Ovis aries: one gene and its partner. The protein of the gene in region 1 binds, or shares a complex with, the protein of each later gene. Links are inferred from orthologs where the notes say so. Each region holds a gene or a part of one and is shown in the gene's direction. Other genes may lie near its edges. The genes, in order: POLR3B and POLR3GL.

The links.
Region 2: POLR3B (region 1) and POLR3GL share a complex: the UniProt entries of both Homo sapiens proteins name them as parts of the RNA polymerase III (Pol III) complex. The link is inferred for Ovis aries from reciprocal best matches to the Homo sapiens genes POLR3B and POLR3GL.

The regions. Positions count from the first base shown.
Region 1 is NC_056056.1:175,318,887-175,323,191, forward strand, and holds the start of POLR3B (DNA-directed RNA polymerase III subunit RPC2), read left to right. Parts: upstream 1-1,409; 5' UTR 1,410-1,508; coding exon 1,509-1,580; exon of another isoform or gene 1,581-1,655; intron 1,656-4,305. UniProt on the Homo sapiens protein: Catalytic core component of RNA polymerase III (Pol III), a DNA-dependent RNA polymerase which synthesizes small non-coding RNAs using the four ribonucleoside triphosphates as substrates.
Region 2 is NC_056054.1:99,305,539-99,309,041, forward strand, and holds the end of POLR3GL (DNA-directed RNA polymerase III subunit RPC7-like), read left to right. Parts: intron 1-1,673; coding exon 1,674-1,841; 3' UTR 1,842-2,704; downstream 2,705-3,503. UniProt on the Homo sapiens protein: DNA-dependent RNA polymerase catalyzes the transcription of DNA into RNA using the four ribonucleoside triphosphates as substrates. Specific peripheric component of RNA polymerase III which synthesizes small RNAs, such as 5S rRNA and tRNAs.

The DNA.
Region 1 (4,305 bases):
TCCTGTTATGCTCTACTCTCTGCTGCTAAGTCACTTCAGTTGTGTCCGACTCTGTGCGACCCTATAGATGGCAGCCCATCAGGCTCCCCCTTCCCTGGGATTCTCCAGGCAAGAACACTGGAGTGGGTTGCCATTTCCTTCTCCAATGCATGAAAGTGAAAAGTGAAAGTGAAGTCGCTAAGTCCTGTCTGACTCTTAGCGACCCCATGGACTGCAGCCTACCAGGCTCCTCCATCCATGGGATTTTCCAGGCAAGAGTACTGGAGTGTGGTGCCATTGCCTTCTCTCTAGGTAAAGTTAATTCCTCCTCATTTTGTGGTCGTTTTAATGGCTGTATAGTAGTCCACCACACACGTACCTTAAGTTTTTAAACCAATCCCCTCCTACCACGTATTTGGTATATTTCCTACTTTTCCATAGTATACGTGTAGTTTGGGACTAAATTAAATGATTCCTATGCTTCTGTGGCTCAAGTCGTGCAAATTCTCCTTTTACCCTTTTCTGTGAAATATTTTTAAAACAATATGCTTTTTGGCCTCAATTATGGGATAACTGCGGAGAAGGCAATGGCACCCCACTCCAGTACTCTTGCCTGGAAAATCCCATGGACGGAGGAGCCTGGTGGGCTGCAGTCCATGGGGTCGCTGAGAGTTGGACACGACTCAGTGACTTCACTTTCCTTTTTCACTTTCATGCACTGGAGAAGGAAATGGCAACCCACTCCAATGTTCCTGCCTGGAGAATCCCAGGGACGGCGGAGCCTGGTGAGCTGCCCTCTCTGGGGTCGCACAGAGTCGGACACGACTGAAGCGACTTAGCAGCAGCAGCATGGGATAACTGGGGCTCTCCAGGAAGTGAAGTGTAAAAAAAAAAAAAAAAAAATTCGCCTGTCAATGCAAGAGAAGCAAGGGACACAGGTTCCACCTCTGGGTCGGGAAGATCCCCTGGGGGAGGGAAATGGCAACCTACTCTAGTATTTTGGGGGCTTCCCTGGTGGCTCAAACTGTAAAGAATCTGCCTGTAACGCAGGAGACCGGGGTTCCATTCCTGAGTCGGGAAGATCCTCTGGATTCCATGGACAGAAGAGCCTTGCGGGCTACGGTCCATAGGGTCACAAAGAGTCGACACGACTGAGCAACTAACAGTTTCTAGTATTCTTGCTAGGATAATCCCATAGCAAAGGAGTCTGGCGGGCTACAGTCCACGGGGTCCTAAAGAGTCGGACTGACTGAGATCGCAGGAACCGACAACCCTGCCTGGCTTTCAGATTACCCACGCGAGACTTCCGAAGGACACCAGAGGGCGCAGTTTCCTGGCGCCACCTCAGCCACATCCGGGTTCAACCGCAGGTTCCGACCGACAGCAGGCGGAACCTTTCTTCCTCCTTTAAGTTGTGCGGCGAACCCTTTAAGCCACCACGCACTGCTCTCCACAGGTACAGTGGATATCTTGACGCAGGGGAGGCACACGTGAGTATTCTGCTTACTGTCTGGTTCCTTGTGAGTAGCATGGACCTGCTTGCCGAAGAGTTTGGGAACCTGACCCCGGAGCAGCTGGCTGCGCCGATCCCAACTGTAGAGGTGAGTGCAGGGCAGATGGTGAGCGGAAGAGGCCGTGATGCGTCCCCGAGAGGCGTTGCCCCGAGAGTCCTGCTGTGGAGGGGGGCGGGCCGCGTCTTTTGCGCATGCTCAGGACTCAGCGCTGGCTCGGGGCTCGGCGAGTTCACTCCCTAGCGGACCGCTGGACCCACGTGCAATGGTTGAGCTGGGGGAGCTGGCAGGCGCCACGCTGGCCTAGCAGCCCCGCCCACGGCTCCGGCGTTGCACCCATTCTAGTGTGCGTGTGTTGTCAGGGGAGGACTGACTCTCACCCACCTTGGGGGACGTATTGCTTGCTTTCTTATAAAGGATGCTGAGGTCCAGGGAGCTTAGCGCTGGCTGTGGTGGTAAAACCAAATCGTCTGAATCCCAGGCTAGTAATTTCTCCTTTTCGCCGGGAACTCAAGTTGGGATTGCAAGAGTATTTTAAGTGCCCAGAAAATTTACTCCAAATTTTAAGTGTTTTCTCGGGGAGTACCCTGTAGCTTTCATCAGCTTCTCAGAAGTTAAGGATAACTATCCTACTCTGCGGAGAAGGCAGTGGCACTCCGTTCCAGTACTCCTGCCTGGAAAATCCCATGGATGGAGGAGCCTGGTAGGCTGCAGTCCATGGGGTCGCTAAGAGTCGGACATGACTGAGCGACTTCACTTTGACTTTTCACTTTCATGCATTGGAGAAGGAAATGGCAACCCACTCCAGTGTTCTTGCCTGGAGAATCTCAGGAACGGGGGAGCCTGATGGGCTGCCGTCTGTGGGGTCGCACAGAGTCGGACACGACTGAAGGGACTTAGCAGCATCCTACTCTGAGCTGCCTGATGAAGTTCAGCTGTTGATATAATTTTATTTTGTGGAAAGACATATAACTTCTCTGGGGCTCAAAATTTTAGTTTGCATCGGTTGGGGCCATAGAGAAATAGTCAAGGGAGAGATTGACGTAGCGGGAACAAGACACTTGAAACCTGGAGGCAAGGCCATCTGATATTTTTGAGAAATAAAAATAAATCCAGTAGTATTGGAGTGTGGAAAAGTAGAGGAGAGATTAAAGGTGACAGATAAGGGTCCTGGTTATGAAAGGTTTTGTTAGACATTTGTAGGAGGCCTGGGATGCTGTTGACAGGTTTAAGCAGGATGACTGACAAGATCAATGAATCAATTTCTTTATAATCATTCTGCAGATTACATTCTGACGAATTACAGTCAGTGTTAGATTCTGTGAGTGCCTTTGTACATGGTGATTTTCTTTAGGCAATACTGGATTTTTAAGTTTTTTTGTTTGTTTATTTTATATTGGAGTATAGTTGGTTTGAATTTTTAACTCTTGAACTGCTATTTAAGAGCCAGCATTTACTGAGCACTTATTATGTGCCAGCTGTGTTCAAACCTAGTGAGCATTATGTTATTTAATCCTCCGAAGCAAGTAATATTTTTGCCCCATTTTGCCAATGAAAATTTTAAAGACCCAGAGATGTTAAGTAAGTAACCCAGTGTCAGAAGGCCATTAAGTGACTGTTGGGGATTTTGGATTTCAGCAGTCAGACTCCAGAGCTCCTGACCTTAGCTGCTGACTGAACTGCTTTTCCAGAGAGCTGCAGGATTTCTGTTTCTTCTCTGAATCTGCACAGCAATGAAGGGACCAGAAACGTATTTTCAGTCTTCTGATTTAGAAATAAAAGTTCCTCTTTCTGACCCTCTGCATCCAGTCCACCATCCCATCTTAAGGGCCCCGACTACAAAATGTACTCAGTTCTGGCATTCCCCCTGTTCTCCAAGCCAGCCACTGTCATCTGTTACTTCCTTGGCTTCTTACTCGTCCCATTATTCTCTACTCTGTCACCAGGGCCATCAGTTTAAACATGCAGATATATTCATATTGCTCCATTGGTTAAAATTCTTCAGTCTGCCCATTGCTCTCAGGGCAAAAAAAAAAAAATCTAATCTTTACCATATTGGTAAGGCTTTTCTCAATCTGGCTACCACTTACTTCTCTAGCTTGTTTCTTCCCACCTGCCCCCTCTCCACTCCAGCTCCTCAAGCTCTTTCTACTCTCCTCATGTAGTCCATTTTGGTCTGTCTTTCATTGTTTGTAGATTTACATCCAGTAAAATGCAGAAGTACTTAGTTAGTGTTCATTTACATTAGTTTTTACAGTTATGTATACCCAAGTAACTACCACCCCATACAGGATATGGAACATTTTCATCGTTGCAGAAAGTGCCCTTTTCAGTTTAAGCCCTACACCACCATTTGATTTCTGTCATCATAGATTAGTTTTGCTAGAGTCATTTCTTGTGTGTGTGTGTGTGTGTGTGTGTGTGTGTGTGTGTGTGTGTTGATGTTTGGTAGAAACCAGTAAAATTCTGTAAAAGCAGTTATCCTTCAATTAAAAAAATTTTTGTTTTCTTTAAAGATGACTTTTTTAAAGAGCAGTTTTAGGTTCAGAGCAAAATTGAGAGGAAGGTATAGAGATTTTCTATTTACCCCTGCCCCCACTTATCATTTCTTAAAAAATGTTTTTCCGTTTTCCAGATTGTCTGCCTCCCTCTCTGGCCACTCCTCGATCTCTCTTGCTCAGTGTGCTTTCTGCTGCTCCAAGTGTTGGAGTGTTTTTGATCTCAGCTTCATGGAGCTCCTCTCCACCTACACTCCGTAGATGGTCTTATCTGTTTCATGACTTCCACTCCTGTCCGTCTGCTGACTTCCCCTGAC
Region 2 (3,503 bases), on another chromosome or scaffold:
GACAGAACAGAAACTGAGACAAAAGTTGCTTTGTTTTTTTTTCCACTCCAGAACTACTGAGTTCAGGATGCTTGAGACAAGGGCTGGGCTACTGGAGGGTCAGCAAAACATTTTCCTTATCCATCTTATGCATTCTGTCACCTAGAGATAGTCCATGGAAGGAATTCTAGGAAAAGGTCTATATAGTAGTGAAAAAACTGGGCAAAAGTCACTTCTTCAGCCCACTTCATAACCTTTAGCTCTTGTGTGATTTTTTTATTGACCAGGTGCTTGGTCAGATCTCCATACTTTTCCCTCCCAAATTATATCTTTGTTTTTTTCCAGTGTGTTCAGAGTTATCAAGATGGTCCAGGATCCTGATTGTAGAAGTATCAGTTCTTTTCTTATTAATTTTACTTTCTCTATTTTCTCTCTTTAGTTTTCTGTCTTCTTTTAAATCTTCCAATACCAGATTAGACCTAATGAATAAATGATACTAAGAACTGGATCTCCTTTAATGGGTGTATATGTAGGTTATAGTTCCTTAAAAATTAATAGACATAAGAGAAGAGTATGGGAAAGGAAGACCCAAAATATCCACCCACTTAAATGGAGAAACAGCTGGGCTAGGACCCAAGGAAGACTACTTAAGTGAGCCCATATGCAGATGTCCTGAGGTGAAGTAGGAGTTGTGTATCAAAGTCAAAAGGAAGTCCAGTAGAGACTTTTGTGCTTTAAGGGAGGGATGTATTTCCTCTGGGTGAAGAGCTATAGCTGGTTCCTTCCTTCCTCAGATTTTTCTGTGCCAGTTACTAGTCACATAGAGCTAACTAAATTTAAAACAAACAAAAATAAAAATTCAGTTTGTCAGTAAAAGCAGCCACACATTTCAGAGCACTTGTCACGTGTGAATAGTGCCTATTGTATTAGTGCAAATGTACCACCTTTCCATCATTACAGAAGTTCTGTTGGACTGTGCTGGATTTGAGCTATTATGCTATCAGGAGAGGGTGCATATGTTCTGGCCCTTCAAGGCTCAAGTCTCTATCAGACCTTGGCTGTAAGTTATCTACCCTCTCCATCCCCTTGTATCACACTCCAGTAGCCAGGCTGTGTACACAACCAGAGTTGTGTGCTCCATGGTCTCCCCTTCTCTTTGTCCTGCCCTCTGGCCAGCTCTTGTCCTTGCCCCACCCCTCCAGTCCCTGGAAAACAAGCTCCAGAAAAATTTTCCATCAACTTTGACCTGGTTTCAAATCTGGCCACAGATTTGAAAGAGGGAGGAGGCTCTAAATTCGTGAACAGGTAAGAAATGGAGGAGGCAAAGGTGAGAGTGAAGGTGACAGTCACCATGGCAACAGAGCTAGAACCTGATGCCTTGATAAAGAAAAAACAGGAGGCGCAAAACAACTACTGAGAATGAAAGCTAGACACAAAGACAACTGCAAAAGAATCTTTTCAATCTCACTTTCTGTTCAATTTACATTGATTTTATGAACGCTGTTGGCTCAGACGGTAAAGAATCTGCCTGCAATGCAGAGCCCAGGTTCAATCCCTGGGTCCGGAAGGGCTACCCACTCCAATATTCTTGCCTGGAGAATTCGAGAGAGAGGACCCTGGTGGGCTACAACCCATGGGGTCATAAAGAGTCAGACACAACTGAACTAACACTTTCATTTTTAATGAACTTTTAGGAGTCTGAAGTTGGGAATTACTACGTGGAGATCCACAGAAAAGCCAACACCCCTCTCCCAATAAAGGCTAAGACTAAATTTGTCTGCAGAAGTTTAAATGAAACAGAAATCAGAAAGTATGTTAACTTCTGCCATCTCAGGGTTTATCAATGTAAGTCACTCCTTTAGGAATAATAATCATTTCAATTAGAGGTGGAGTTGTGGTATCAATCTGTTGTTATTACTCTACAAAGAAGTAACAGGAACTGTAAACCATACCCTAACGAGGAAGGTGGATTTGAATGTTCAGCAAACATTTACTGAGTTATGATCATGTGCCTGAATAGGAATTGTTCTAGGAGCTGCAGAGATTTAAAAAAAAATGGTAGCTGTCTTCAAAAAAGTTGATATTCATTAACTGTAAAAATCCTTTAGTCCTGTTTTGTCTTCCTACATATAAACCACATTTTTACTGGCAAGAAACTATGATGAAACCAAAATAAGAAATAAAAGTACCATAACACTTTCCTCCCAAATGCCCTTACAAAATTCATTTCTCTGTATTTTAGGAGCTCATTAAACAAATAAACAAACAAAAAAAGCCTTATATACTCCAAAGCTGAAGAAATTTAGTAATGATTAACTAAAGATGTAGAAAACCAGATCAGACCACCAGAAGACCCCACTATTCACTGAAGTTCTTCAGTGAATCGGACAAAAGACAATGTAGCTCAAATTCCTTCCCTCCTCACCCCCATTCTGACCATAGTCCTTAGGATCAATAAGAAATGGTTTCTCTATAGGGTTTTCAACAATCTGAGTTGTGAAGTAAGGGGGAAAGCTCCTTTAGGCACATTTTCTTTCTAATAACTTCAATATTATCTTACAGACAAGAAGAGAAACATTTTTTTGCCATTAAAAAACTTTTTATTTTCTTTTTTTTTTTTTTTACAAAGAATACCCCCACCTGGGGTGAAAAATATATCTGGTTAAGTACAAAATATAGTTTTTCTCATACAAAAAGATATACAATTAAAAAACAAAAAATGAAACCACCTTCAGCCCACATACTTTTTCAGAAAAGGGTAGATAGAGCTCAGAGCTCTGACACAGGACAGTGAACAAAGTGCTAAGGCGGAGAGTGACTGACCAAGTGCTAGAGGCTGCAGTGAGACAGGGGCTGTCAACAACCCTGTCTCCTAACACTGGGCAGGAAGTGAGCCCTTGGGGCTTCTGTGAAGATCTGCCTTCTGGTTTCTCATGGCAACATCTGGATGCTCTCATCACAGTGCTGGGGCATTTTATCTAGGGTTCCTCCTTGGGTTTGGAGAAGTCACAGTGGGCAAGGCTGATAGCAGCAACCCTTCTCATGTGATCAGTGTCAGAAATGCAGAATTCTGTACACTGGGACAAAGTCTCAAAAGCAGGAACACTTTTTTTTTTCCCTGTCATTGTGCTTACCCCTAGAGACATAGTAGACCAGTTTTAGCTTACATCTGAGAAAGGAAAAAACCCCAAATTTGACACAAACTAAAGTGCTAAGGACATTGCCTCAGAATCAATTCCAAGGAGTCACACGAGAAAAGAAAAAAACATTCTCCCACATAAAAATGTTTGCCAACAGGAGAACACAGTGCAACAAGCTCTAAAAATGGCTTTTAAGACCTCTGGTGGGGCACAGTTACTACTGCTTTATGACTGATTAAAACTACTTTCTAAACAATGAAACTTAAAGCTCCTCCCCTTTAATTCACATGGGAAGCTTGCTCCAGAGTCCAAACCCAATCAATTCTGGAGGGCTTTTCTTTTTCTGTAAGTGTACAAACAGTGGGGAACAATGATTTTAAGAAT